4 linked regions of the Elephas maximus indicus genome follow. The protein of the gene in region 3 interacts with the protein of the main gene of each other region in a biochemical or structural test. Links are inferred from orthologs where the notes say so. Each region holds a gene or a part of one and is shown on either strand. Other genes may lie near its edges. The genes, in order: ZRANB1, USP30, UBC and UBR5.

What was found.
Region 1: of the proteins of UBC (region 3) and ZRANB1, one has a biochemical effect on the other in vitro, tested with the Homo sapiens proteins (10 studies listed by BioGRID and IntAct, with this or other methods). The link is inferred for Elephas maximus indicus from reciprocal best matches to the Homo sapiens genes UBC and ZRANB1.
Region 2: of the proteins of UBC (region 3) and USP30, one has a biochemical effect on the other in vitro, tested with the Homo sapiens proteins (5 studies listed by BioGRID, with this or other methods). The link is inferred for Elephas maximus indicus from reciprocal best matches to the Homo sapiens genes UBC and USP30.
Region 4: the proteins of UBC (region 3) and UBR5 form a complex in vitro, tested with the Homo sapiens proteins (7 studies listed by BioGRID, with this or other methods). The link is inferred for Elephas maximus indicus from reciprocal best matches to the Homo sapiens genes UBC and UBR5.

Annotation. Positions count from the first base shown.
Region 1 is NC_064834.1:74,981,268-74,988,689, forward strand, and holds the start of ZRANB1 (ubiquitin thioesterase ZRANB1), read left to right. Parts: upstream 1-4,422; 5' UTR 4,423-4,506; intron 4,507-7,422. UniProt on the Homo sapiens protein: Ubiquitin thioesterase, which specifically hydrolyzes 'Lys-29'-linked and 'Lys-33'-linked diubiquitin. Also cleaves 'Lys-63'-linked chains, but with 40-fold less efficiency compared to 'Lys-29'-linked ones.
Region 2 is NC_064840.1:19,533,310-19,541,022, forward strand, and holds the start of USP30 (ubiquitin carboxyl-terminal hydrolase 30), read left to right. Parts: upstream 1-4,692; 5' UTR 4,693-4,858; coding exon 4,859-4,941; intron 4,942-7,713. UniProt on the Homo sapiens protein: Deubiquitinating enzyme tethered to the mitochondrial outer membrane that acts as a key inhibitor of mitophagy by counteracting the action of parkin (PRKN): hydrolyzes ubiquitin attached by parkin on target proteins, such as RHOT1/MIRO1 and TOMM20, thereby blocking parkin's ability to drive mitophagy.
Region 3 is NC_064840.1:5,697,770-5,704,662, forward strand, and holds UBC (polyubiquitin-C), read left to right. Parts: upstream 1-3,872; 5' UTR 3,873-3,980; intron 3,981-4,831; 5' UTR 4,832-4,834; coding exon 4,835-6,664; 3' UTR 6,665-6,743; downstream 6,744-6,893.
Region 4 is NC_064833.1:39,566,275-39,573,778, forward strand, and holds the start of UBR5 (E3 ubiquitin-protein ligase UBR5), read left to right. Parts: upstream 1-4,500; 5' UTR 4,501-4,547; coding exon 4,548-4,609; intron 4,610-7,504. UniProt on the Homo sapiens protein: E3 ubiquitin-protein ligase involved in different protein quality control pathways in the cytoplasm and nucleus. Mainly acts as a ubiquitin chain elongator that extends pre-ubiquitinated substrates.

The sequences.
Region 1 (7,422 bases), on a different chromosome or scaffold from region 3:
AGTGTTCCTTTTCTCGTTGCTGAGAAAGGGCTCCCTTGCTTGCCAAGACAAATCACTGTGCTTTGATTACCTCCCTCCTGGGTTTCAGTAATTTTTTTCCTTCTCTACCTTCTCTCCTCTGTTGACGAAAGTTCTCAGATATTCCTGTTCTTAAAAATAAATACTTGAAAGAGAACAGAACCCTTCCCTCGTTCTTGCTTCTCCTGTGTCTAACATCTTTTGCTTCCTTTCATTGCTGAATGTCTTGGACTGGTAGTCTATAATCACTGCTTTAGTACCCACACATGCCTTCAGCTTTTGAAATTTGGCTTCTCTCCCTGCCATCCTACTGAGAAATTGTTCTCTAAAAGGTCACAAAGTCTCTTGTTTGTCAAATCCAGTGAACTTTTCTCTGTTTTAATTCCTCTAAGTTTGTAGAATCTGACATTGTTTGCCATGTTCCCTAGGCTTGGAATTTGACATTGTTGATTACCATGTCCTTTAGTCTCACACCTGAGGTCCAGGATGCCGTTGATTACCTGGTTCATCTCCTGTCTTTTGTACTACTCTTTTTTTCTCCTTGGATAGTTCTTCTTTTCCTTTCCTACTCCTGGCTTAAGTGGTAACTTGTGCATAGCTAACTCCCTGATGTTTATCTCCAGCTTTAGCCATCACATTTCAGGCCAGCATTTCCCCTGCCTGCTGCACATTTCCCTCTGAGTGATGGGCCAGGATCTCCACATACCTGATCCAGTAGACAGCATCTCCTATCTAGTTCCTCTTTCTCTTCATGTTTCCCACTGTTAATGGCACCGTTCACATTCAGAGGTCTCTGACTTTTGATTCTTTCTTCTGGCCCCAATTCAGGTACTGGCAAGCCTTGAACATCCACACTCTTTCACCTCTGTCCCTTCCTTCCCATCCCCACAGCTACTTTGGCTTAGGTCCTTGTCTCCTAATTGGTTTCTCTATTTCCCTATTCTGTTTTTACCCTCTTTTGTCCCACAGACATTCCAGATTAAGATATAGCTCTAATATTGGTGTTTCCATTTCTATTAATGGAATTAAGTACAGATCCACAATTTTGCATTGAAGTATTCGCAGTCAGTCAGAAAATGTAAAGTATAATGGTATCTTCTAAAGGTAGTTTGGGAAACAGCTGAAATAAAAGACAGAACTAAATGTCAACAAAATTATACTGTCCCTACACTTCGGTAGAGGTTCTCAGAAAAAGACTTAAAAACTGGATATGTTTTTCCAAATGAATTTTTTTTATAACTCATTGAGAAAGGTGGTTCAATCTCTATGAGAAACAGCAGGATCAGTTCCTTAACTATGACAATGCTATCTGCTGTTGTGTTAGATATGAAGCGCTGCTCTAACAGAAATAGCACAAGTGGATGGCTTTAACAAACAGAAGTTTATTTCCTCAGTTTAGGCGGCTAGAAGTCAGAATTCAGGGCACTAACTCCCAGGGAAGGCTTTCTCTCTCTGTCAGTTCTGGGGATAGGTCCTTGTCATCGATCTTCCCCTGGTGTAGGAGCTTCTCAGCACAGGGACCCTGGGTCCAAATGAGACGAGACGCACTCTACTCTCAGCGCTTCTTGGTTGGTGGTAATGTGGTCCCTCTCCTCTCTGCTTGATTCTTTTATATCTCAAAAGAGGTTGACTCAAGATACAACCTAATCTTGTAGATTAAGTCTTGCCTCGTTAACATAACTGCCTCTAATCCTGCCTCATTAATATCGTAGAGGTTAGGATTTACAACACATGGGATAACCACATCAGATCACAAAATGGTGGACCATCACACAACACTGGGAATCATGGCCTAGCCAAGTTGACCTACATTTTTGGGGGACACAATTCAATCCACAAATGCTGTATTTGTTCACATCTTTTTAACAGATATGGTGTTATGGGAAGAACATTTGATTGGGGAATCAAGAACTCTGGGTTCTAATTCCATACGTAGTTGGTCTGGCTTTTGACAACTCTCTTAATTTAGGCACTACTTTGCACATCTGCAATACATGGAGGGTGGTGGGCGAGTAGGACAACATAAGTAGTTCTCAATTCTGGCTGTACATTGTAGCCACATGGTACGTAAAACATACCCATGTCCAGTCCCTCCTCTTAGAGACGGTTTCAATAGGTCTGGTGTTGGGCCCCAACATTCGTATTTTTAAGAAACTCCTCAAGGTATTCTGATGTGTAGCCAAGGCTGAGAACCACTGGACTGATATTAAGAGTCTTTTCAGCTTGAACAATTCATAAAATACCACCTTCTTTATTAGAGCCATTTTTTGTATTTGCTCTTCCTCTCAGTTACATGATAATTTTCATTTGAATTTACATGGTGCTTTGCACATTCTGCCTTATATAATGATAACTATGGTTGTTTTTGTCTTCTTTCCTATGTCTGTTTCCTCAAACACAGAACGTGTCTTACTCATCTTTGTGGGCTTCCTGTTCCTTGGCACATGGTAGGTACTTATTATGCTAGGTAAACTACAATTCAAACTAAACAAGAACAAACACCTAATTTGGTGACGTGTCTACTTATTAACTTGGAGGTAGATGCTCTTTATCCTTGATTCAAGAAGCGGGAACTGGAGGTACTCAGAGGCCCTCAATGGAGATATTTTCAAGTGAAATATTGGTTGAAGCATTGTGATGAAATATTGGTTGAACCATTCTTCTTGCATAATGACTTAGTGATTTTATATCTAATTGTTAGTTACATATTCAAGAATGTGGGTTAAGTTTTACAACAGACGAGATTGTTGTAGTTCAAACTCAATGTATTGAAGAGCCATTAAGCAAAGTATTTTGCTGTTATGTACTTCAGATTTGACCACGATGAAGAGGATTATGGAAAATCTGTCACAGGAATGGCTGTGAAGATAAAATATACCAATGGTTATGAAATGTTGGTGAGAGGAAGCTATAAAGGGTTCTTAATTGCCATAGTGAAGCTGTACATACATCCTTTAACATATCTATGCAAAGAGAAACTCAGAACACCAGGGATAATTTTACTCGATAAATCCCCATCTAATTTTTAAAAATCTGAGTAAATGCTGAATAACACTGTCTCCTAGTGAAGCTGAGGTGTCCAAATGTGACTGCTAAATGCCCTTTGAAAGTGCTATAGCTTTTCTTCATCAGATAACTTGAAAGAGATTTACAACTCTTAAAGAGTTCCTGTGTTTTATGGGCTTCCGAATTCTTCATAGAAATAAAATTTGAAGTATGAGAAATGAAAGGTGACACCTCAATGGGAAAAACTAAGCTCTCTGGCTAGAAAAAAATTGACTCATGGAATTTTAACAGATAGCTGACTCATTTAGACTATTTTTACGGTAAAAAAGAAATATACAAAATATATCGCCATATAATATATTCTATTTAGAATCTGGGCTTTGGGGACTCTCAGGGCAGTATTTTTTCCATGGCTGTCATTTATCCTCGGCCTTAAGGAATATCTCCAATTTACAGAAAAGGCAGCCATGAGAAAGTTGTATTTACCCAACATTAGGACCAGCATATGGCGGAGGAGAGCGAGAACCCAGGGTCTCCATAGCTTTTCCTCATATATTTATGTATATATGTAATATAGGTGTATATGGAGATAAATACATATACACAAAATATGTACAAATTAGATATATAAAAATTACACTATCACAAACAACCAAAACGTTTGTCTTCTGTGGTGTCTTATCGAGAAACTGCATATGAAGAGGTTAAGCAGAACAGAAAGTTCCTCAGGAGACGTGAGACTTGGGCGGTAAAAGTTTGGTGAATTTGTTTGCAGAAGAGAAGGGGAAGAGTTCGAAGAAAGACAAGTGCGCCTCGAGACGCCCGCCCCACAAGGTGCTGTGAGGCGCCGTCGGTCTCCGTTTGCCTCCGCGGGGCGTCCTCCACCTCGGCCAGCGCGCGCTACCCTCATCTCCGCGGTTGCCGCCCAGGGGCCGCGATGTGGGGGCGCGCGCCGCAGCCTCACAATCCGGGCCCGGCGCCGGCGTGATGTCACGCCTCTGCGGCCCTCCTTCTGCGTCCGGAAAGAGGCGGCCTCCCATTGGCTGCGTCGCCGGCGGCCTCGGGCCAATGGCAGGGCGGCAAGCGGCGGGGTCGGCCCTGACGTCTGCCGCTCGCCGCGGGGTTTATTTGGCTCCGGGTCCCCTCTGTCGCCGCCATTAAGAGCCCGCAGCGCCCGTGGCCGCCCCCCCCTCTCTCCCCCCTCCCCCCGGCGCCCCCCCGCCTGCGCGCCTCCTCTCCGCCCCTCTCCCCCCGCCTCCGGCAGCCCGGAGCCGCGCGCCGCCCGCGGAGACCATGTCCTGACTGAGGGGAGAGGGCGGAGGCGGCAGCAGCGGGGCGGGCGGCGGCACGGAGGGAGGCGGAGAGGGGCCGGGCTCCGCTCGTCGCCGCGGGCGGCTCGGGGAGTCGCCGCCGCCACCGGGCGCCGAGCGTCGGACAGGGAGGAGGAGCAGGAGCTGGAGGAGGAGCCGCCGCCGCCACCAGGTAACCGGGCCCAGGAGGGGCGCCCCGCCGCAGGCCCCCGCGGCCTGACCGGCCTCCCGCTCCCAGGTGGGCCCAGGCCGCGGGGTCTCTCGGCCGCCCGCCCGCCCGCCCGCCCGGCGCCCCCCGGGGCGGCGGCGTTGCAGGCGACGGCGGGGAGCGGGGGCCTGCCGCGCAAACCCCGTCGGGCCCGGGTCTGCCGCCGGCCGGGCTTCCATCTTTTGGGCTTTCCCGGGGCGAGGAGAGGTCGGGGGCTCCGGGAGGGCGGGCCCGCTTGTTTACCAACGATCGATCAGCCGCAGCTGGACGCGTTGCCGGCCCTGCCACCGTCTTCCGCCGGATTTTCCCCCAACTTCTCTTCCTGCCTGATCCGAGTCTGTGATGGGGTTTCGCTCCCGCTCTGCAATAGGCCATAAATACTTGGGTTCATCGCCACAAGTTGGTGCTGGCCTCCAAACTTGGATTTCAGTCTCTTGGCCGCTTCCTCTCTGTCTCCTGCGGTGGCCCCAGTTGTTGCCATTTCTGTCTAAGAAATCAAGGTCGGGGGGCAAAGGTTGGGGGAGAGGAGAAAGAGCTGGAACTGTGGACAGATGATCTGCCCGCCTCGCTCTCGGTAACTCTCGTTCGGTGCAAGTAGCTGTTGTTTTCTGTGGGGCTTGCGTGGGTCATTTCATAGACAAAAGGACTGTAATGAATACTTGCACTAAGTACAAGGGACTGGCAGTTTAGGTTAAACCTGGAAGTTGGAACTGGCCCACTATCTTTGAGGTTCACTGATGTTTTCTTAACTCTTGCTGAGAATTTTGAGTTTCAGTCTCACTCCCTTTGTCCATAAGTCTGCAGACTTTCAGGTTAAAGGCTGCTCTCCCCAGTATTTTGGTCTGTTTGTTCACCGTATGATCCACGGTATTGTCATTATAAATCTGATGTACAAAAATGTTGTTTTAGAGCCACAGCTGAAGAGACACCTTTAACTTCCGGAAATACTCCGTAAGGAGTGCTTCTGGTACTTGTAGGTCTCCCTTTTTTAGACGGTGTCCTAATCACTCGTGCAACCTCGAGGTACCTCTGTTTTGATCAAACATAGATGACTCAGTGAGTAACCCATAAGCCAGGGAAAACCATAAGGAATTTTGATCTTGGCTTGCGCCAAGGGCTGAGAGCACGTCATCTAAGATGTGTTTGTGAAAAATAAAACTGGATCTCTCTTCTTGGTTGTTATTTTTAATTAAATTAGGTAGTTCTGAACACATTTAGAACTCTGCTCCCCTGTTGATTTTTGGGTCTTATGACAAGGTGTGCAGTTTCCTTCTTACTATAAAAGTGCATCACGTTGTTTTTATTGGGCTATTAGGAGGGGGCTAAAACTAGTAAGACGGTAATGACACATTTTCATCTTTTGGGAAGGCTGTCATTTGAATGTCATGAAAGATTTTTATTTCTGTTGCTCATGTTTGAGCACCTTTTATTACAGCCTTAGAGTATTGGGACACCCGTTTATTTACTCTTGAAATGAACTCGGGTTAGTATGAAGAACTCATTCATGATATAATATGTGTTAAGCTCACGGCCTTGATCCAGACCTGTACACTGATGGGGTTCTGGCACAGCCCGTTTAAAGTCTGAGGGTTAACAGAGCTTTGGAACTCAGGGTCCAGTGGTACAACGTTTGAGGTAAGTTGCTTCATGTGCGTAATTGATAGAGTGAGAGCTTCTCCAGGTGCTTTATACTTATACTACTTTTATAATAAATGTAAATAAACAAGAGTTGTAGACCACCATAATTTTTTATTTAACTTCTTGGGTCACTTTTACTATTTAAGCATTGCTGCTCACACCCACCCCCACCCCAATAATATCCTTTTGTACCTGGCCTAGAACACTTTTTTCCATTGATGTGATGTTTTATTAGGAATATTTGTGCTCCACTTATTCTTCGCATAAAATAGTGTCTTGCACATTTTAATATTGTCCCCTCCTCACATCACGGTATAAAGACTTCCAGAAAACTCCTTATTACATGGAAAATAAAGCTCAGTTTCCCCGGCATGGTCAAGATCCTCCAGAATCTAGCCCTGATCAGTGCTTCAGTCTTAATGCCATTTCTCCCCTTGGTGGATCCTTGGTTTGTTTTTCCTGTGAAGTCTCTCCCCTCAGCTTTTCTTTATGCTGTTCTGTCTGTTTGGAATCGTCTTCCTCTTGTATTCATGGATACTCTCTGTACTCTGAGCCCAGGTAGGGCCTGTCTCTTGAGGAGCCTTTTTAACTACTTCAACCCCAAGGGATCTACTGTTCCCTCCTCTGTTGTGCAGGATGGTTTTCTTCCTTCTTGTCCTAGCACTGCTAGCCTGGATTTCAGTTGCTTTTATTGTTTTTATTCTGCTTCCCAATTGGACTTTTAAGACTTGAGAAATGGGTTTGAGCCCTGTGCCTTGTGTGTATGGGGAGCATATATTCAGCTCTGACAATTTGGACTCGTGCTCTGACAGTGACCGGTGATGGTTATAGTGGTATTCTAGGATATAGACTTTGTACTCCTCCAAGTATTGGAGTTTCTGGGACTGTGACAATTTCTGAGACAAAAATATTTGAAATTATGGCTGTCTTTGAAAAAACAAAATACTTGATTAGCATGTTTATGCCTATTGCCAACATGGTTCCCAGCCTGTAGAGGATGGTCAGCATTTTGATAATGATCTCATCTTATTTAAATAAAAATAAGTACCGTAATTCTGTGGTTTACTTCGGATTTGAGTCTGGGGCAGTTACTTGGGTTCATTTGAGATCGGCACCAGTGACAGCAAGGGGGACCATTTCCTACTTGTATATAGGTAACGTTTAGCATCACATGAAGGAGAAATCACCTGTAGCTTCAGTTTGGATCCTTAACTTCGGATGTTGGCAGCATGTGTCATTGAT
Region 2 (7,713 bases), about 14 Mb from region 3:
GTTAGTGATTTCCCCTCTCCTCCCTGGTAACCATCAAAGATTGTTTTTTTCTGTGTGCAAACATTCTCTTGAGTTTTTATAATAGCAGTCTTGTACAACATTTGTCCTTTTGTGTTTGACTTATTTCACTCAGGATAATTCCCTCCAGGTTTATGTACAAAGGTCTTATTCTTTTTCCAGAGCAGACACTAAGGCTCAAAGCTGAGGACAAAGGGCACTGAGTGCTATAAATTCTAAATTGAGAGAGGTGGCAGCTAGAGCCTATCTTTGAGGCCACTCTTCTCTCGGGGCTTACTGAGAAGGGCAATGTCATGGATTGAGTTATGTTCCCCCAAAAATGTGTGTATCAACTTGGTTAGGCCATGATTCCCAGTATTGTGTGGTTGTCCTCCATTTTTATGATTGTTAATTTTATGTTGAGAGGATTAGGGTGAGATTGTAACACCACCCTTACTCAGATCCAATGTAAAGGGAGTTTCCCTGGGGTGTGGCCTGCACCGCCTTTTATCTCTCAAGAGATAAAAGGAAAGGAAAGCAAGCAGAGAATTGGGGACCTCATACCACCAAGAAAGCAGCACCAGGAGCAGAGCATGTCCTTTGGACCTGGAGTCCCTGTGCCTGAGAAGCTCCTCGACCAGGGGAAGATTGGTGACAAGGAACCTTCCTCCAGAGCCAACAAAGAGAGAAAGCCTTCCCCTGGAGCCGACGCCCTGAATTTGGACTTGTAACCTACTAGACTGTGAGAGAATAAACTTCTCTTTTTTAAAGCCATCCACTTGTGGTATTTGTTATGGCAGCACTAGATGACTAAGACAAGCAAGAACGAGGCTGAGCCCACTTTCCCCTAGTCAATTAAAGGGGAGATCTGTGGGTTGGAAAATGCCTTTGGGTGAGTGTGGTGTTTGAGAATAGGGGTGCCCCAGTTTCCACTAATGATTCACCTGAATCTCCCCAAAGAAAGGGAGAAAATAGCCTCTCCTTCGAAGTCTACGCCTAGTTCTAAAGACTTCCCAGATAATGGAAAGCAATGTTCCTATCTGGTAGGACAATATGGGAGAATAATAACTATTTTTAGTATTAAAAAGACACCTAAGGGGATCATTCTTGTGGCTTTGTCTGACATTGTGATCACAATCTCTGAGATCTTTCTTCTGAGACATGGGAGAGCCTAACCAAAAAAACCAAACCCATTGCCATCAAGTCAATTCCAACTCACAGCAACCCTACAGGACAGAGTAGAACTGCCCGATAGGGTTTCCAAGGAGTGCCTGGTGGATTCAAACTGCTGGCCTTTTGGTTAGCAGCCGTAGCTCTTAACCACTATGCCACCAGGGTTTCCAAGAGGCCAGAAAAGAAAGCGGATGGAGAAGGTATGGAGAGCTAGCCTCGCTTCTGCCTCCAGGCCACGCTCTTCTCTTGGTCAGGGTGGAGAAAACTTTTGAATTGGGTTTGAGGTTTAAATTTTGAAATAAAAACGACAAACAGATAGTGGCGACGGTTGTATAACACGGTAAAGGTAATTTTGTGAATTGTGCATGTAAAAATGGCAAATGTTACATACTCTACCACAATAATCAGACAGTAATTTAAATACCAAAATGAGATAGCTCTCTAAAAGTAGTTGCAAAGGAGGAGTTCCAGCTGAATCCAGATAGGGGCAGCTGAAGAATGCTACTTCAGGTTTTTATCCCAAGGACTTGAGCCTCTGGATAAACCCTTTGCCGGCAGGATAATCACAACAGCCAAGAGATTTCGGTTGTTGTTGTTAGGTTCCAATTCATAGTGACCCTATGTACAACAGAAGGAGACAGTGCCCGGTCCTGCACAATCGTTGTTATGCTTGAGCCCACTGCCGTAGCCACTGTGTCAGTACATCTCGTTGGGTGTCTTCCTCTTTTTCGCTGACGCTTTTCTTTACCACGCATGATGTCCCTCTCCAGGGACTGATCCCTAGTGACCCTGTTATCTCCCAAGATGCCACAGATCCTGGATCTGCCTGATGGATGTCAGAGTGGGCCCTGCTGGTTACTTGCTGTGGCATTATTGTCATAAATTAGTAATACGCCCCCTATTTATAAGAACATCTATTAGTCAACGACAGCAGCACCTCCCTTGTTAGAAGAGGAGTAAGAGCCAGGCGGCAGGGACATTGTTAGCTTTGTGAGATGTGGAGTGCTGTTACTACTCACACGGTCATTGCAAGAATAAACGAGATACAGCATGTAAAGTGCTCAAAAACATCTGTGAATTGATTGACTACGGATGCTCTACAAATGCCAATTATTTAAAAGAGCCTGGAACTTAGAGGTCTGAGCAGATTTGCTGATGGGTGGCAGGTTATTCCCAGGTCAGGCTAAAGCAGTGGTTCTCAAAGTGGGGTTTGCAGCCACACCTAAGACTTTTTCAGGGGGCCTTTGAGGTTAAAACTGTTTTCATAATAATACTGAGACATTATTTTGCCTTTCCCACTCTCATTCTCTTGTGAGCATACACCGGAGTTTTCCAGAAGCTATGCAATGTGTGACAACATTGTTGCTCTGATAACTAATGGAATGTATGTTTAGGTATTCTTGGGTTTTAAATATTTTAGTTTTGATCAGTGGTTGCCAGAGACTGGGACTGGGTGGAAAGGTTAACTACAAAGGGACAGGAAGTCATTTTTGTGGGTTGATGATTCTATCTTGATTGTGGTGGTGGTTTCATGACTGTGTACATTTGTCAAAACTCATAGAACTCTAAAGTAAAAATGAGTGTATTTTACTGTGTAAATTGTACCTCAATTAAAAAGCCAAAAATTAGTTCTCAATTTTAATTTCTAGTAGAATAAATATAAATATAACCCAATAAACAAAAGCTCTCAATAATTTTTAAGCATACAAAAATTGTTTCTCAATTTTAATTTCTAGTGGAATATAATCTAATAAGTAAAGCTCTCAATAATTTTTAAGCATACATAGTAGTCCTGAGACCAAAAATTTTGAACTGAAGGATTCTTTTTTCACTAAAGCAGTTAAAATTACTGATTCTGGAATTGGGAAACTGATCTAAAAGGAGGGTAAATTCTCTCTGGCCCTAATGCTTCAAAAGTATGGTGTCCACTGGCTACTAGTATTTATTGAGCATATAAAAAGTAACTAATCCAAATTGAGATGTACTTAATATGAAAGATTGTCATTATTAACAGTTTTTATAGAGAAATGATAATATTTTTTATACATTGGGTTAAGTAAAATATATTATAAAAATCAAGTTCACCAAATACCTAATGGCATTTGGATCCTAGGTTTGGAGGTTTAGGGTCATGGTTTCATGGGGCACCCTAGTTAATTGGCCTAATAATGTGTTTAGTGCTTCTGTTCTACCTCCTAGTTTCTTGTGTCGTACCTGGGGTCTTAAAAGCTTGCAAGCAACCATCCAAGGCATAACAATTGGTCTCTATCTGCCTCCATCAACAGACGATGAATAAGAGTTGAGAATAGGAGGAAGATATGGAATGTGTGGCAAACTGCCTCCATGAACAACTGCCTCCTTTGCCATGAGACCAGGAGAACTGGATGGTTGCCTGGCTACCATTACTGAGCATTTTGATCAAATATTCTATAGGAGAACCCTGATTGAAAGGGGGGACAGGCAGAACACAATTTCAAATTCTCGTCGACTCTAGACTTTCTGGAGCCACGGAGGCTGCATGAACCCCTGAAAATATTGCAGAGACAATCTTTAAAAACCTTAAACCAAAAATATCTCCTTAAGTCTTCTTAAAACCAAACAATACTTTAGCTTAACTTGTAAAAAATGTCTGCCTTGAGCATTGTGCTCTTTTAACTATCTAAATGAGATCAAATTGAAAACAGCAACTCCAAAGATTAGCTAGGAACCATAGTCAGAGTTTATGCTAACGGGGGACGAACAACTCAGATAAGGAGGGTGAGAATGGTTGCATAATTCAGAATATAATCAATGTCACTGAATTGGACATGTAGCAACAGCTGAACTGGTCCGTTTTGCTGTGTATAGTCTCAACAATACAAATAAATTAAAAAAAAAATCAAGTTCACCTGCTTTTTCCTTTTTTTTTAAACATGGCTACCAGAAAATTTTAAATTACATATGTGGCTCCTGTTATGTTTCTATCGGACGGAACTATCCTGGAGACACAGATCGGTCCATCTGAATTGCACACCTTACAAGCTGTGTCAAAAGTTATACTTCTTGGGTTTTTTCGGATGTAAAATACGGGTAATGTTTAGGATAGTGTTAAGATTAAATGTGAATAATACGTGCGATGCACTTTGCAATGCACCAGGCACCTAAGCAAACAGTAAGTTAGGTGGCTGTTATGACTAAAAGCCTCGGTTTCCGTACTGGTGACGTCAAAGTTGGACCACATTTTATCAAAGGTCCTTCCTTGGAGACCTATTTCCTCTCTGACGACAGTAACAACTAATGGTAGCCTGGGCCTGACCCCCACTTTCGGGCGGGGGCCGCCCTCTCCACACTGGCAAATTCCAACCAGGACCCACAGTCCCGCCCGGGAGCGGGGCATCTGTACGGATGGACGGAGCCCAGGGCAAAACCTGGAAAATCAACAACCCGGAAGCGCCCCCCACAGTAAAAAAAAAAAACAGCGGTAGCCCTTCGCTAACACAGAAGGAAGGACGTGGTCCGCCGGTTATTGCTCTCCGGTGGAGGCTACTTCCGGCCCCATCCGGGCGCCTGTCCCCTCGGCCTACCCTCCCCCCAAGGAGCTGGGCGTGTTTGGTCGCGGGTTCCGCCGCCTCGGAGCGTTCAGAGCCCTGGGTCCGGCCGCGGCGGCGGGGGCGGTGGCGGCGGCGGCGGAGTCTCCGGCGCAGCGGCTATGCTGAGCCCCCGGGCCGAGGCGGCGATGACGGCGGCCGACAGGGCTCTCCAGCGCTTCCTGCGGGCCGGGGCGGTGCTCAGGTGAGCTGTGGGGGGCGGGGCGGCCGCGGAGACCCGGCCGGAGGCGGCCTTTTTACGCTTTGGTCGGGGCTCCCGGGGCCCGAGGGGTCACTCTGGAAGCTTCTACGGCCGGGAGGGGCGACGGGCCTCTCAGGGATTCCAGTGTTTTCGGCAACACCGTTTCTGTCTGCACTCTCCAATTCTGCCAGCGCCCCCCAGTTTTGTTAGTGCGTTCCCCCACCTGCTAGTGCCCCCCAGCCCTGTGGGGGTGCCCAGGATTGCGTAATCTCCCCCATCTTGTCAAGGCACCGAATTCTGTCAATGTTCATTGTTGTCTCAGTGCCTCCCAGGCCTGCCAGGGCCCCCCGAATTTTCTAGGAATACCTCGATCCTTCTGGGCCCCCCGATCATGCCAGTATGTGGACCCGCCAGGGTCCCCTTATCTTTGTGGGCTCTCCAATCTTTCCAGAAGTCCCACAGTCTTGTTTGTGCCCCTCGGTCAGCTAAGGCTCCCCAGTCTTGGCAGGATCCCTTATTCTTGCCAGGGCCCCAAAATCTTTCCAGGATTTCCCCAATCCTTCCACCTTGCCAGGGCCTCCCGATATTATCATACTTTCTCATCCTTCCAGGGTTTCCTCAGTCCTTACGGCTGTCCCCTCCCGCATCAAAACCTCATTTATCAGAACCTCATTCTGCCAGAGAACCCCAATTTTGTCTGGGCTCACAATCTTATCAGTGACTCCCTTTACTTGCAAGGATTTCTTAACCAACGTGGCCTCCTTAAACTGTTAAAAGGCTGCCCCAGTCCTGTTGAGATTCCCCCATTCCTGCCAGGCCTGCCAGTCTGGGTCCCCAGTTCCATCAGGATCACAACCCTGCCCGAGCTCCCATCTCCTTTTCTTATCCACTCTTCCACGTGCTCCAGGCTTCGGAGCTAAGCACTGCAGCCCCCGTACTGACCCTAATTGACTGAAACCTGTTCCTCAGATCAGCTTCTGTCCTCTCAAACTGGAGCACATCTAAAGAGCCATTATCCCAGGGCTGGAAGCAAGCCCTCAATGGCTATTCTGTTCAGTGTCCCCATTCCATAGATGGAATTTGGGCCTTGAGACGGCCTTGCCTGTGGTCTCACTACTGAACTGATAGCAGAGCCGGGAGGAGAAGCCAGATCTCACACCCAGGCCCCACTACCCTTCTTGACTTGCCATTTTGCAGAGGAATGAAGTTTCCAAAGTCTGTCATTTGCCCTGATTTTTTGTGCATGCCCTGCTAAACCAAACCAAAAAAACCAAACCCAGTGCCGTCGAGTCACTTCCAACTCATAGCGACCCTATAGAACAAAGTAGAACTGTCCCATAGAGTTTCCAAGGAGCGCCTGGTGGATTTGAACTGCCAAACCTTTGGTTAGCAGCCATAGCACTTAACCACTACGCCACCAGGCATGCCCTGCTAACCACCTGTTACCATTTGGTGTTAAGTCAGTTCTGACTTACGGTGACCGCATGTGTGTCAGAGTAGAACTGTGCTCCATAGGATTTTCAGTGGCTGATTTTTCAGAAATAGATTGCCAGGCCTTTCTCCTGAGGCACCTCCTGGTGGACTCGAACTCCAGCCTTTCAGTTAGCAGCCAAGCACATTAACCATTTGTACCACCCAGAGATTTAGGGCAGATCCTCTGTCCCGTCCCTTTGTTACTCTGTCCTTCAGTTGCCGTCATGAGCATTGTGGTTTTAAGCACAGCCTGGGGAGCCCATCTGGGATGGGTTCACATCCTGGCTGCCTGACTCACTGACCAGGTGGCCACATCCCTTTGTGTCCTCATCTATAAAAATGGGGATGAAAATAAAATCTGCCTCTGGGGTTGCTTTGAGAATGAGACGAGATTATCACAGTGCCTCAAAACCTGTTGCTGTTGAGCCGATTCTGACTCACGGTGACCCTGTCTGTGTCTGAGTAGAACTGGACCCCGTGTGATTTTCAATGGCTGTTATCTTACAAAGTAGATCGCCAGGCCTTTCTTCGGCAGCACCATTGGTTAGATTGAACCGCTAACCTTTTCAGTTAGTAGCTGAGCACAAACTGTTCGTGCCATCCAGGGACCTTATGCACTGAAATATTAGTGTTTGATTCAGGGACATGAAGAACACTTGTAAAGAGTTTTAGCATTTCTGATAGTCTTTTTTAACCTTCCCAGGCACTCTTGTGAATGTAAGTCAGCACAGTGATGCATTAAGAAACTTCTGAGGTTATACACCCACTCCTCACTTTTCGACATGGGTAGGTTCCAAAGACCAGGTTGTCATGTGAAAATCAGCATTGTGCAAAAATGGAGAATGACTACATCAGATCACAAAACAGAGGATGACTACGTCATTACATAGCTGTCAGTCCCCCCAGTCTGGGTCCCCAGTTTTATCAGGATCTCCCAGTCCTGCCAGAGCTCCCATCTCCTTTTCTTATCTACCCTCCACATAACAGTCAAACCGCTGAGAATCATGGCCCAGCCAAGTTGACACATAACCTTCACCATCACAGCTAGCGTTACTCTCTCCTTGCACTTGGCGTTCGTTAGTGCCAGACCTACGTCATTAATGTGCAAAATAATTGGATAGTAGATTTTTTTACTATTATAAGTGCGAAATGTCAGATAAGGAGATAGGTGATAAGTGAGGAGTAGGTGTAATACTTAATAGTAGTGGCTACATTTAGTAAGCTTTTACTATATGACCTATACGTCGTTGTTGTTCGTTGCCATTGAGTTGATTCTCACTCAGAGTGACCCCATGTGTGCCG
Region 3 (6,893 bases):
AGAAAGGATTCTATGGGAATAGTTCTTTGCTGTAATAATGAATTTCTCCCCTCTTCACATCCATTCTCTAATTTGACTTGACCTCATAGTGTTAATCATAAAAATGTCAAAACTTAGATCTGGAAGGTTCCTGAGCCCAAAGCCTTCATTTTTGAGATAAGGAAACTGAAATTCATGAAATGACTCACCAGTTAGGTGGTGGCGCATTGGTGACAGCTTGTGTCTAACAAGCTTCAGTAAAGGTTATTTCTCCCTAAATGTCAAAGTTCTGAAGGAACAAAACATTGAGGTGATTCCTAAGGCGATCAAGCCTAACACAAAACTAATCATATGCTTCTGGTTCACTTTGTATCTTGTACGTAACTGTTTCTAATAGTTAACTGAAAGGGAAAAAAAAATACCCTAAGAAGTTGGTGGTGGTAAAGTTTTGTTAGGAAATGGAGTTTTCTAGAAGAGTTGTTGAATCGTTGAGGAAAAAGAAGTTATTCAACTGTTAAATATTATCTTACATTTTAAAAAGCAAAGCCCAAATAGGTTCAATAACTTCCTGAAGTTCATAAGGTACTATTTGACAAATTTGGAGACTAAAATTTCAGTCTGATTTTCTGACTGGCGGGAGATAAAATTGGTCATTTTTAAGTTGAAAGAGTTTGTGGCCTGCCACACAATTCAAATGTACCTGTGTAAACAGGAAAATGACAAAATCCCATGGGCTTTATTTTATTTTTTTGCAAGTGTTCTAACCTGCAGATCTCCTTGACAACCTTTTTTGGTTATATAACCAATGACAAAGCAAGGCAAACTTTCCCCATCTAGCTCTCACATTTCCTCCTCTCTCTTGGGGGAAAAATGTTTGCTGACTGTTGCGTTCTCAGACAGTTTTAGGATGTTGAATCAAGTCACATACAGGGCTGTGACCTTCAGGGGATCTGAAACCTTTGGGGGAAAGGAAGAAAAGCAGACAAACGGGCACCAATCCAACTGCCCGCTCCCCACCCCCACCTTCAGGTGCAGCCAAACACCCTGGCCCTTTGTGAGCTCAGCCCATCACGTGCGCACATCTGCTAGCCAATCCTGCCCTGTTGCTGGGCTCCTGTCACTTTTCCATTGGTGCCAGCTCTGAAGCAATCTATTCTGGGATGCTTGCAAAGGATGGATCTGTGGGTGGAAAGAACTGGAAACAGATCCAATGACTAATCCTGCTTCTCGCACATTCTAGTACATTGCATTGTAGGTCAGGGGTTTTAGGTTTTAGGAACGTGACTTGATACCTGACTCCAGAGTCCAAGGGGGACATTCAGACTTTGGGCCTTGGTGGCCTTCTCAGCAAGTAGAAAAGCAGTTGTAACAACAAATCCTTCTGTAGAGCAGCGATTGTCAGTCTCAGCCCTGTTGACATTTTGGGCTGGATAATTATATGTTGTGGGAGGCTGTCCATTTTAGAATGTTTAGCAACATCCCTGGCCTCTCCCCACTAGATGCTGGTAGCATTCCATAACCCACAATTGTGACAATCAAAAATGTCTCTAGACATTGTCAAATGCCCCGTGGGGGACAATATTGCTCCTGGCTGAGGCCTACTGCTCTAGGAAACCACCCACCTCTTTAGGGAGGCCATTGCTGTCCCCTAAGCTCCTTCTCCCCAACTTCAGGGTCCTCAGGGAAATGTTTACTTCTTGTTTGTTTCAACGATAACCCACTCTCGGACTTAAAGTTAGGGAATACGGGGGTGTTTCAGAGATTTTTTCTGCTGGAGACAATAAGTACCCTCCCAACTAACAGGAACTTTATTTTCTTTGTGGAGGTAACCCTTGGCCTAATCCTTTCCTCCTCTTTCTTTTTTCCTCTTTGCCTTCTCTTCCTCCTCTTCTCTCTCCCCTGCCTCTGAAATCAGGGATGTTTTTCTCTGTACCTTTTGACTCTGAAGATAACCATGTCACATAGCTCGTGACTCAGCCTTTAAGCAACAAGAATTACAAGACTTGCAACAGCCAAAAGCAAACAGGGTGTGGTTTGAAGCAGGGCCTGGTCACCTTAGAAAGAATCTGTTTTTCGTTCCTTTAACCGAAATTTAAAGAGAAATAACCTCATAGCGAACCTCAACTTTTTGTTTCTTTAACGTCTCTTTCCAGAAATTTAGAGAGAAATAACCTTCACAGAACTCTGTATTGGAAGGCATTGAAAATGGCATTCCATTCTTTATAACTCATTTTTAATTTTCCAGTAACACATTACTTCATTGTCTTGGAAAAATGCTTAAAATTACAGAGGTTAAAATCTATTTTGAACAGCACTCAGATCTTTTGTGTTTTCATAAATACATACACAGGCAACCATAAAAAATATATATAGCATTTGTTTTGGTTTGATTAAAATTTTAAGTGTGTTTAAAAATAACATCTGTAACTTAAAACAGGAATGTATTCTATTCCTGATAGCAGAAAAATTTTTTCAGTCAGCTGGCTCTTCTGTCTCTTGACTTTTTTAAGGTTAGAAATTAAAATACGCACATTTGTAGATGCAGGGAGTATTTCTAGAAGAATCCAGATGGAACGGTGGCCAGACAATTGAGGGGAAAGAGGTAGATTTCACTGTGAACTTATAAAAACCTGTTCTGAATTCTCACCGTGTTAATATATTTTAAAACAGTTAAAAAATAAGCTGAAGAAGTGACATAGAGATCATAAAAATAAAAATCTGGGCTGGTGATCGTTTTTCTTCTCTTGTATAAAAATGGAATTTGCCTGTGGAAGTAAATTTCATACTCTGGATATTTAAATTTTTTTTCCCAAAAATATACAAGGCTGAGACTCAATTGGTGTCAAATTTTAAAATGAGTCCTAACTGCGTTCGATTTCTGAGCTGAACTGAACATCAACAGAAGTGAAATTTCGAACGCCTCTTGTTTACAGTGAAGTGCAACCTTTACAAAAACCCAAGGCCCCAGCGAATAAACAGGAAGCTAAAGAACAGCCTAGAAATTTCTGTGTGTCAGCTTTCAATTCCAGCGCAAATAATTAAAAAAAAACTGTGGGATTTCCTTTCTTTTTCCTAATTCAATCCAGGCACGCACATTCATTTCTCCATTGGAAAACTGTTTCGTTTGTTTTTGAAGATTTCCTGTCCTTAGGACCAGACTTTAGTTGAGGCCTGGATTTTGGCCTTGGCCTTTGTCCTGGCCCAGAGGCTGGGCCGCAAATCTGAGATTTGTCGAGTCATTCGCCTTGTCCCCGTGCCAGCTCCGTGGGGGGTGGGCAGGGCCGCCTCAGCAGGGGTGCTGGGAACCCAGGGGACCCTCACGACAGGCCTTGGTGGTGGGGGGACACAGTGAAACAAACACTATAATTATTTCAAATGTGAACCAAAATAACGACCCCTGGCTTCGGATGGGGGCGGGGCGCGCCAGAGGGGAGGCGGACCCAGACTGAGGCGCTCGGCCCGAACCTGTCGCCCGCCAAGAGCTGGTGTCGCCAACGGCGGGGACGGTTGCTGTGGGGAGGGGGGGCGTCGGGGTCGGGCTACCGGCCACGGAGGCCCACCCGCTCCGGACACCCAGGCGGCTCCGCGCCGGGTTTTCGCGCCGCCGCGAGCCGCCCCCACCCGGCACCCGCTCCCTCTCCCTTCCCCCAAGGCGTGATGCGGTCACGTTCGGTCGCAGCGCACTGTGTACGCGCTGATTCCTCCGCCAGGCCCCTCGGGACGGTGATCCGCTGCCCACCCGACCCAGCCCGAAAGCCCCAGTCTTGACAGGAGAGCATTTTATGAGGGGACTTGGATGAGTTTGGGGTCTAGTTTTCTTTCTAGGTTGCCAAAGGGGCTGGGTAAAATAGTTCCTTCTCGGCGTTTCTGCGGAGGAATCTCCCTGGGGCGGAGGCCTGCTATGACTATATAAAGAAGCGCCGGGTGTGGTGCAGGGACGTCCGTCGAGGTCGGTGTTCGTTTCTGTTTCTCTTTGCGTTCTCTGTTTCCACAGCCGCTTGGTGAGTAGGATCCTGCTATGCTGGCCCGGGAGCCTCGGGGCCGTCCGGCTGCGAGGGGTGGGGGACAGACAGTGCTGCTCGCTGCGGGCGAAGGGCAGCCGGGGCTTTTAGTCTCCTGGGTCCTGCAGCAGGGTGGCCGTGAGGGGGACGAACGCCGCAAAATGGCGGTCGCTTCTGACTGAAAGGTCGGAGAGAGGAAACTGAGGGAGGGAAGGTTGTGAGGGGAGAGAAGCGCCAGGCCGCCCCCAGGGCTCAGCGGAGGGAGAGCGAAGCTCAGGTGGGCGTGAGCTTAGGCTTCTGTCGGGCGGGCTTGGGCAGGGGAACCTGACGTTGGCGTCTGAGTTTTGGGGAGTGACTGGGAGTAAAGGCCGGGTTGCCGGCCGCCGTGGCCGTGGCCAGCTCTGCACCTCAGCCCCCGCCGGAGAGGGAGCCCGCGGCCGCAGCGCTGGAGCGTGACGTCACCCGCTCTGTTCGGCGCACAGTCTGGGGTGGGGCCGCCTGCCCGTAAATGTGTGGGGGAGCTTTGTGGCAGTCACGGGGCGACGCAGAGTGTGGGCCTGGGGGAGCCCCTGCTGAATCGACGGGGGACAGACGTTCTGGCGGGGGAGGCTGCCGAGTTTCTACGGTCAGGGTGCCTGCCAGCCTGCCTTCGTGAGGGGCTAAAATCTGGGGTTTCAGGTGATTTGTCATATCTGTTAGGTTTGTCACTGGTTATATCGTGAAGTTTTTTGGGAGAGAATTGTTTTGTTTTTTTTGGTCTAGTAAAAAATTGTTATTTTTTGGGTTAGGAACGTAGTGACGTTTGAATTACCTGCTAAAGTTTTGGGTCCTTTGTTTCTTTCTGTTCTCAGACAATGCAGATCTTTGTGAAAACCTTAACGGGTAAAACCATCACCCTTGAGGTAGAGCCCAGTGACACCATCGAGAATGTCAAGGCAAAGATCCAAGACAAGGAAGGCATCCCTCCTGACCAGCAGAGGCTCATCTTTGCCGGGAAACAGCTGGAAGACGGACGTACCCTGTCTGACTACAACATCCAGAAGGAGTCCACTCTGCACCTGGTTCTCCGTCTGAGAGGGGGAATGCAGATCTTCGTGAAGACCTTGACCGGTAAGACCATTACCCTTGAAGTAGAGCCCAGCGACACCATTGAGAATGTCAAGGCAAAGATCCAAGACAAGGAAGGCATCCCTCCTGACCAGCAGAGGCTGATCTTTGCCGGGAAACAGCTGGAAGATGGACGTACTTTGTCTGACTACAACATCCAGAAGGAGTCCACTCTGCACCTGGTTCTCCGTCTGAGAGGGGGAATGCAGATCTTCGTGAAGACCTTGACCGGTAAGACCATCACCCTTGAAGTAGAGCCCAGCGACACCATTGAGAATGTCAAGGCAAAGATCCAAGACAAGGAAGGCATCCCTCCTGACCAGCAGAGGTTGATCTTTGCCGGGAAACAGCTGGAAGACGGACGTACCCTGTCTGACTACAACATCCAGAAGGAGTCCACTCTGCACCTGGTTCTCCGTCTGAGAGGGGGAATGCAGATCTTCGTGAAGACCTTGACCGGTAAGACCATCACCCTTGAGGTAGAGCCCAGCGACACCATTGAGAATGTCAAGGCAAAGATCCAAGACAAGGAAGGCATCCCTCCTGACCAGCAGAGGCTGATTTTTGCCGGGAAACAGCTGGAAGATGGACGTACTTTGTCTGACTACAACATCCAGAAGGAGTCCACTCTGCACCTGGTTCTCCGTCTGAGAGGGGGAATGCAGATCTTCGTGAAGACCTTGACCGGTAAGACCATCACCCTTGAGGTAGAGCCCAGTGACACCATCGAGAATGTCAAGGCAAAGATCCAAGACAAGGAAGGCATCCCTCCTGACCAGCAGAGGCTGATCTTTGCCGGGAAACAGTTGGAAGACGGACGTACCCTGTCTGACTACAACATCCAGAAAGAGTCCACTCTGCACCTGGTCCTCCGTCTGAGAGGGGGAATGCAGATCTTCGTGAAGACCTTGACTGGGAAGACCATTACCCTTGAGGTAGAGCCCAGCGACACCATTGAGAATGTCAAGGCAAAGATCCAAGACAAGGAAGGCATCCCTCCTGACCAGCAGAGATTGATCTTTGCTGGGAAACAGCTGGAAGATGGACGTACCCTGTCAGACTACAACATCCAGAAGGAATCCACTCTGCACTTGGTACTTCGGCTCAGAGGTGGAATGCAGATCTTTGTGAAGACCTTGACTGGTAAGACAATCACCCTTGAAGTAGAGCCCAGCGACACCATTGAGAATGTCAAGGCAAAGATCCAAGACAAGGAAGGCATCCCTCCTGACCAGCAGAGGTTGATCTTTGCCGGGAAACAGCTGGAAGATGGACGTACCCTGTCTGACTACAACATCCAGAAAGAGTCCACTCTGCACCTGGTCCTCCGTCTGAGAGGGGGAATGCAGATCTTCGTGAAGACCTTGACTGGGAAGACCATTACCCTTGAGGTAGAGCCCAGCGACACCATCGAGAATGTCAAGGCAAAGATCCAAGACAAGGAAGGCATCCCTCCTGACCAGCAGAGGTTGATCTTTGCCGGGAAACAGCTGGAAGATGGACGTACTCTGTCTGACTACAACATCCAGAAAGAGTCCACTCTGCATCTGGTCCTGCGCTTGAGGGGAGGTGTTTAAGTTGTTCCCCCTTTTCTCTTAAGCTTTCAAGAAATTTCATTGCACTTTTCTTTGAATAAAGTTGTTGCATTCCAAAATACTGTTCTTTATTTTTAGTGCTAAGTCACGTTCCTTTGGGGCTTGGTTGGGGAATTAAGGTTTACGGTTTTTGAAGTGTTCAAGTGGGAACCTTGAGGAGGTGAGATGTTGGCCTTGAAACATGACCTCAATACATAAATTAAGTGGATGG
Region 4 (7,504 bases), on a different chromosome or scaffold from region 3:
AACATTCACTAGAACCCCTTTTATTGGCTTTTCTCTCTTCCTTGTTTCCACTCCCATACAGTGCTTCCTGGGATCATCTTCTGAATAAACTACTTATAGTCAAACCCTTGTCTCAAGGTCTGCTTTTTGGGAAACCAAATCTAAGACTTGGCCTATTTCAGGGGTGTAGCCCTTCAGGGTCTCAGCACAGAATAAGAGGCCCTGCATATCAATCGTTGTTGTTTTAGTCCGGAGCATTTGTCAAGTGTTCAGACTCTTGGCTTTTCAGCCTGTCTCTCTAGAACTGGCATTCATCTTTAGAAGAAAAAGTGGCTCCAAACATAGGACTCACTTCCCTGGGTCTCATTCTTCCTTTGGATCCTGGCTTGGGAAGTCATCATTATTTTGTTAGCTCTCTTTTTCTTTAAGCAGATTTAAAGAAATATTTTGTACAACTTTTCTAGTTGTCCTCAGAGGGAGGATTAATTCAAAGGACTAGTAAGTCCCCAGCCTCCTTTTGTAGCCTTATATTTTGGGAGCCCTGGTAGCACTGCCATTAAGAGTTTGGCTGCTAGCCAAATGGTTGACAGTTTGAATCCACCAGCCTCTCCTTGGAAACCCTATGGGCCAGTTCTACTCTGTCCTATAGGGTTGCTATCAGTTGGAATCGACTCTACGGCAATAGGCTTTGTTTTGTTTTTGGTATTACGCTTTGAGTCTTCACAGAGATTGTTTTTCTTGAGTCCTGCTTATTTCTATTTCTCTATCTCCATTTCCCCCACCACTCCACCCATGCATCCTATTGGCTTTCACAACTCCATGACTTTGTTCTTCTTTTTCCCGGTTCAGAATATGACCCACCAAAGTATCAGCCCTGGAAGAAGAGGATTGTTGCAAACATGCCAGTCTGGGACCACAAAAAGGTAGCAATGCCAAGATGGTCGTGAGTCAGAGATCAAGTAGGCAGTTCGAAAGGGCTGCCAAGAAAGTATGTCACAGTTCTAGGAAACTCCCATTGCTGTCAAGTCAATTCCAACTCACAGGGACCGTATAGGACAGAGCAGAATTGCCCCACAAGGTTTCCAAGGCTGTAATCTTTACAGAAGCAGATTGTCACAGCTTTCTCCTGTGGAATAGCTGGTGGTTTGAATCACTGGCCTTCTGGTTAGCAGCTGAGTGCTTAACCACCGCACCACCAGGGCTCCTTGAAGAAACTGTCATTGTTGTTGTTAGGTGCTGTTGCGTTGGTTCCGACTATAGCAAGCCTATGTATAACAGAACAAAATACTGCTGGGTCCTGTGCCATCTTCATAATCATTGTTATTATTGAGCCTATTGTTGCAGCCACTGTGTCAATTCATCTCCTTCAGAGCCTTCCTCTTTTTCTCTGACTCTCCACTTTACCAAACATGATGTACTTCTCCAGGGACTGGTCTCTTTTGATAACATGTCCAAAGTATGTGAGATGAAAGTCTTGCCATCCTTGCTTCTAAGAAGCATTCTGGTTGTACTTCTTCCAAGACAGATTTGTTCATTCTTCTGGCAGTCCATGGTATATTCAATATTCTTTGCCAAAGGCAGGCCGTATTTCAAAGGCGTCAATTCTTCTTCTTCGGTCTTCCTTACTCATTGTCTTGCTTTCACATGCATATGAGGTGATTGAAAACACCTTGGCTTGGGTCAGGAGCACGTTAGTCCTTAAAGGAAACTAACTGAACTGAAACCTTTGCTGTCAAGTTGATTCTGACTCATAGAGACCCCATAGGACAGTGTAGACTGCCCCACAGGATTTCCCAGGAGTGGCTGGTGATTTGAACTGCCGATCTTTTGGTTAGCAGCCAAGTTCTTAACCACTGGAAACTAGGAGTGGGTAAATCAGGTCAAAAGGAGGGTGGAGGCAAAATAAAAAGATGAAGGACAGATTTGGAAAAAAAGAGAAATAAGGCACGGTATGGGCAAAGTATGGAGTTGGTTCAGGGACAAATCTAAAAGGATCGGATTTAAGCTACGTAATCTATTTGCCCAGAACATTCTTGAAGGCTCAGCTTAAATGATTTTGAATTCTTTTCACTGGAATCACTTTCTCCTTTAACTTCCATAGTACTTTTATTGCATTTATCATATCACATCTTTTTCAACTGGCTTTAAATAGTCTGTTCCTTCTAAATTATTAACTACTTAATAGCAGCTGTGGTATAGTAGAAAGAGCAACTGAATCAGAGTCAGAAGACCTGGGTATAAGTCTCAACTTTAGGACTTATCATCTATGTCATCGTGGGCAAGTTATTGAAGGTGTCTGGCTCTCAGTATTCTCATCCACAAAATGGGGATAATACCATTTACCACCCTAAGGCAATCTGATACATATAAAAGGTATATAAAATGGTACAAAGTGAGCATTCAACAAATAAAATCTTTTATCTGCTGAGCTTACTATGTGTTATGAACTGCTCTAGGTGTCCAATATGTACGCCATCACAATTCTTTGCAGCTCTATTAATACATTAAATAAAATAACATAACATTTTACAAATGAGAAGGAAAAAAAGCTACAATCGGTTAAATAACTTACCCAAGATAATAATGTTAGTTAAATAGCAGAACCAGTACTCAAATCCAGGTCTGTTTCTAAAACCAACAGTCTCCACTGGGCCACCTTGTCTCCCCACGGCTCACATGGACTTCTAATACATACCAAAAACCAAATCTGTTGCCATCAAGTCAATTCTGACTCACAGCAACCCTACAGGACAGAGTAGAACTGCCTCAACAGGGTTTCCAAGGAATGCCTGGTGGATCTCAACTGCCGACCTTTTGGTTAGCAGCCCTAGCTCTTAACCACTGTGCCACCAGGGTTTCTAACACACAGTAGCCTTGAAGTCACTTTTAATCTAAGCTAATCTGGGCCGATGTTGGAGCAAGGGACCTACAAAAGTGTTCCCTTGTTTGTCTCAAAGGCTACCTAGTCTATTCTGATTTATAAACAAATTTTCATATACTTTGCACAAGGAAATTTCCTAAGCAAGAGTGTGTGTGTGTGCAATGCATTAACAGGAAAAGCGATATTTTATTCTTAACATTTTACAGGACCCCTGATTTAACTAACATTCACACAGACTGGTTAAGAGGTATGTCAGGGAAGAAGGAACTGTTTTCAGTTTTTGCCATTAAGTTTTAGAGTTCCTCAGAAGTACTTGAGTTTTTAAAAAGATCATAGAAACCTTGGGAAGAAAGCTATGATTTGGCTTTCCAAGAAAAAAAGCTGATAAATCCATTCAAGTACTTCCAGTTATGATCCCACTGATGACAAGCTGAGGAACTTCTTTGTAGAAAAGATATACCATCTTTCACTTTAAAGCAATAATAAAAAAATGATGAATCATTTAGATCAGTAAATTATTTTGTGTCCACGTTTTCTCTTTGTGGCGGTATGGGATGGTGGTGGTGTTGGGGGACATTACGGAGACCAGAGTTGCAAAAGAACTGCAAAGTCAGTTCCCTGATCCTACTATCACCTTCAGGTAAGGCCCTTACATAAATACCTTACTTCTCCAATAAAATAAAAGGCTGTTTATTTCTTGCCCTTTATCTGATACTACACTTTCACTTTAAGTACAAACGCGGATGAAAGAGAAACAACAAAACACCCCGAAGGATCGGCAAAATAATTCGGGTTGCCCCAGGGAAATCAGGGAGAGAGAAGAGAAGAGCCCCCCTCCCTTCCCACCTCCCTCGGGACACACTTACCCTCCCTCCCGAACTCCCCACCAGCCCCGGCGGGGCCGCCCCTGCGCCTCCTCCTTCCCTAACACGTGCTCCCCGGAACACTCACTCCGAGCTAGCCCACCCCCCGCGGAGGGCTGGGCTCGGGCGCCGACCAGCCCAATCCTCACGCGCCTTACAGCGCCGTGGCCCGACAACGTTGAGCCGCCCAATCGAGAGGGCCTCACCGCCCGTTTCCCGGAGCCCCGCCCCTCCGCAGCCGTGCCCCCGCCCGCCGGTCTCCGCCCTCCTCCTCCTCCCGTTCGCCCCGCCCCCGCCGCTCCGGAGCGGAGCCTGCGAGACGGAGAAACTGGGGCAGAAGTGAAGATGGCGGCGGCGGTGCTGGTGGCGGCGGCGGCGGCTTCTCGCCAGTGACGCGCGGTGCGGGCTCAGCTCCCTCCCCACCTCCCCCAGTCCGGACCCCGTCTGCCGCCGGGACCACACCGACCCCGCAGCCCGCCCCTCTCCCCCTCCCCAGTCGCCCCTTTCCCGACGCCCGGCTGCCGCTGGCGGCGGCGGCGGTGCCGCGGCTCGGGTCCCGGCCGCCGGCCTCGCACTCTTTGGTGCTGTCGCCGGGGGAGCGGGTGGCGTGTTGATCCGCCCTCCTGCCCGCCCCGCCGAGTCGCCGGGCCGCCGACACACGCCCGGCAGGGAGGCGGCGGCGGCCCCTGCGCATTTGCTTCCCTCCATCTGGGGACTAGGAGGCGGCGACGGCGGCAGTGGGTTTTGGGGAGGGGAAGGGGTCTCGGGGGGTGGGCGAGCGCCGGAGGGGGCAGTCCTCGGGAGGAGGACGAGAAGGAAGCACCATGACGTCCATCCATTTCGTGGTTCACCCGCTGCCGGGCACCGAGGACCAGCTCAATGACAGGTAATAGGGCCGGCGGGCGGGCGGGCGGGGGGAGGGGCGCCCTCCCCTCCCCCACGGGGCCGCGCCGGACGGGCGCCGGTGTTTACGCGCAGTCCGCCCGCCGGGGGGGTCCTCCCGGCCCCGAGCTAGGCCCCTTCCGGGCCAAACTTCTTGTCCAGTAGGATGCGGGGGGCGCGCGGTGTAGACGGGGGCCGCGGTGTAGACGGGAGAGCGCACCGCAGCCCCCGCCCTGAGCGGCCCCGTTGAACTCGGCGGAGATGGGGGGCTCCAGCTCTCGGGGTTGGGGGGGCGGGCTGTAATTACCTCCCGGCCCAGGCCCTAGGAATCCATATTAGTCAAAGTTGAATTGAGACAGACAATGCGGATGGGGGATGGTGGAGGTAAAAAGAGAGGGAAGAGGAGAAGCGCGGCGAGGGGGCCGGGGCAGGGCTGGGCTGGCTCGCCCCGGCTCCCGGGAGCTGGGTCCGGAGAGCTGGACCGGAGCTGCCAGTCCTGGGAGATCCCGGGGGGAGAAGCCGATTCCCGGCATTCGCGGGGGAGGGAGGGCGGCGAGGGAGGGAGGAAGCGCCATGATTATTGTTATTATTATTGAATTTGAGCCCCTGCAGTGAGGCTTGCCTGCCCGGGGAGGGGATGAATTCAGGCGGGCGTCGCGGGGCGGATTGCCTTTGCTCTCCCTGTCTTGAAACGGTACTGGCAGTTCATCCTTCCAGCCCCTGTGGTGCGAGCTTTTTTTGTTCCCCTTTTTATTCTAATGATAGTGTTTTCCTGAGTTGTAATTTGACAGCTGAAAACCGTGCGTAGAGTCAAAGGAAAACTCCTAGCGTTTGCAGCTCGCAATGCTGCTCTTCTTAACACGCTGTAAATTTCTAGGATGAGTTTGCTGTGGGCAGAGGAGGAATTATGATATGTATTTTTTTTTGTCTTTCATAAGAAGGCTGTTTTAGCCATGGATTCCTCCCCTTCCCTCCTCCACCGTTCCCGGCCAGTTTAGGATATTGAATTGCAGGGCCGCATGCTCACAGGGAACTGAGATAAAGCAGGAAAAGTTCCTTTACTGTTGCAAAACAGACTCAGGAGGTCGAGGGAGGCCTCCATTAAAGCATGTCTTTGAATCTAGGACTCAGATCGAATGATGGGCTAAATGTTTACAGGATCAGAAGGTAGGGCATTTAAGCCTCCCTCTCCCCCAATACTACTCTGTGTATTTCTTGTGAGTGTAATAGGCCGTCTGGTCCCAAGTTTAGAAGTTAGGTATAATTTTTGCTAAGTGACCTGGTGACATAAGTTGCATGACGCCCTGTTTGTCATGCGCTTCCTGGAGGGAGGAAGAGGCCTAACTTGCTGCTAAAATATTGGCCTTTCTTGATGTGTATAACCGCCTCAGGTCGGCCGGGCAACTTTTAAGTCCAGAAAACTGGAGGCTTGGTTTTAGCACTGGGTTGGATTTGTGTAATCTTTGCTGTAGCCATACTGTATTTAACATGCTTGTGAAACTTTTGGAGTACTTTTTGAAAATGTTAACCATTTTAAGTTGTCACATAGTTCCTTTAAATATGGAAATAACCTTCAAGTTATTTATTTTAACATTTTGTTATCTGATCCTTTGAGTTTATTTAGTGATGTTTTTAAGACTTCAACATAAGATTCTTTGTAAATTTAGAAGTAATTTTCTTTAGATTCAGGCTGGTAGTGAGGATAGCTCTACTGTCATTTATAGAACCAAGTGAGTAGTACTTGTCCTGTAACTTAGAAAATTGCACCAGGGAGGAGAGAACTAGGTCATGTTTTCTATATTAAACCCAATTTTCTGTTATGTATCAGGAATCCTGACTAGCTTACTCACTTGGCTGTGCACGCCAAAACCTATAGTACAATTGTATTGGGCACCTGGTTTATTTTTGAGCATTCCTTTTGCTTCAGCTGTCTTGAGAAATTTACATGTATCTTTCTTACAGATGCCTTTTTTTCCTCCAATATGAGTGTAAACAGTCAGCTTTGATTTTGATTCCTATAGTGTCAAGATACAATATTAAGAATGTTGAGACCATCTTGAATTTTTAATTCCATGAAATAAGGAAAAAAGACAAGTGTATTTGATTTAGGTTATAAAATCTGTGCATTAATATGACAGATACTTGAGTAAATAGAAACGTGCTGTAGGTAGAAATTTAGGTACTTGTATCTAGTAGCTGTAAAAATGTCAAGATTCGTTTTGTAAAGGCAGCATTTGAGACAGTCATGCAACTTAAGTTTTGGAATAGTAGATTTGTGCTGGGAGCTGTTGTGTCTGCCCTTCAAAAGAAAAGATCTGTTTTGCATGCCTCATGGCAGAGTTGCACAAGATCAACCTATTGCTTGAGAAAAATGCTTCCATTCATGATTGGTTTTTCTGGACCCTTTTAATGATCCAGAACGAGCAGCCCAGAAGATCTTCATCTTCAGATAAAAACTTAATCAAAGCTTATTAAGTTCTGGTAATAGAAAAGAGTGTGCTACTGTAGCTTGATTTTTGTAAGATATGTGTCTTTTGTGATAGTCATAAACTAAATGATAAATGATAGTTTTGGATGAAAAATTATAAATAGGTAGACTTTGTTCTTTACCTGAAAAGCAGTAAGATTGATGAGGCAGTATGGTACTGTAAATAAATTGCCCAGTTAAAGAAAACTGTTGAGCTGAAACCACCACCAATATTTTCTTCTCCAAATAAATTTTCTTTCTTTAAATACATACATTCTGTTAAAAGTCAAACATTTTGTTCAGTGTAATAGTCTGATGTCTTAAACATCTAAAATGTACCCAGCACAAAGAAAAACACCTGATATTTTTTCTTAATGTGTGTTCCCAAACTTCCTAATTTTATGATAGTCTGCACATACTAGGTTAAAAATC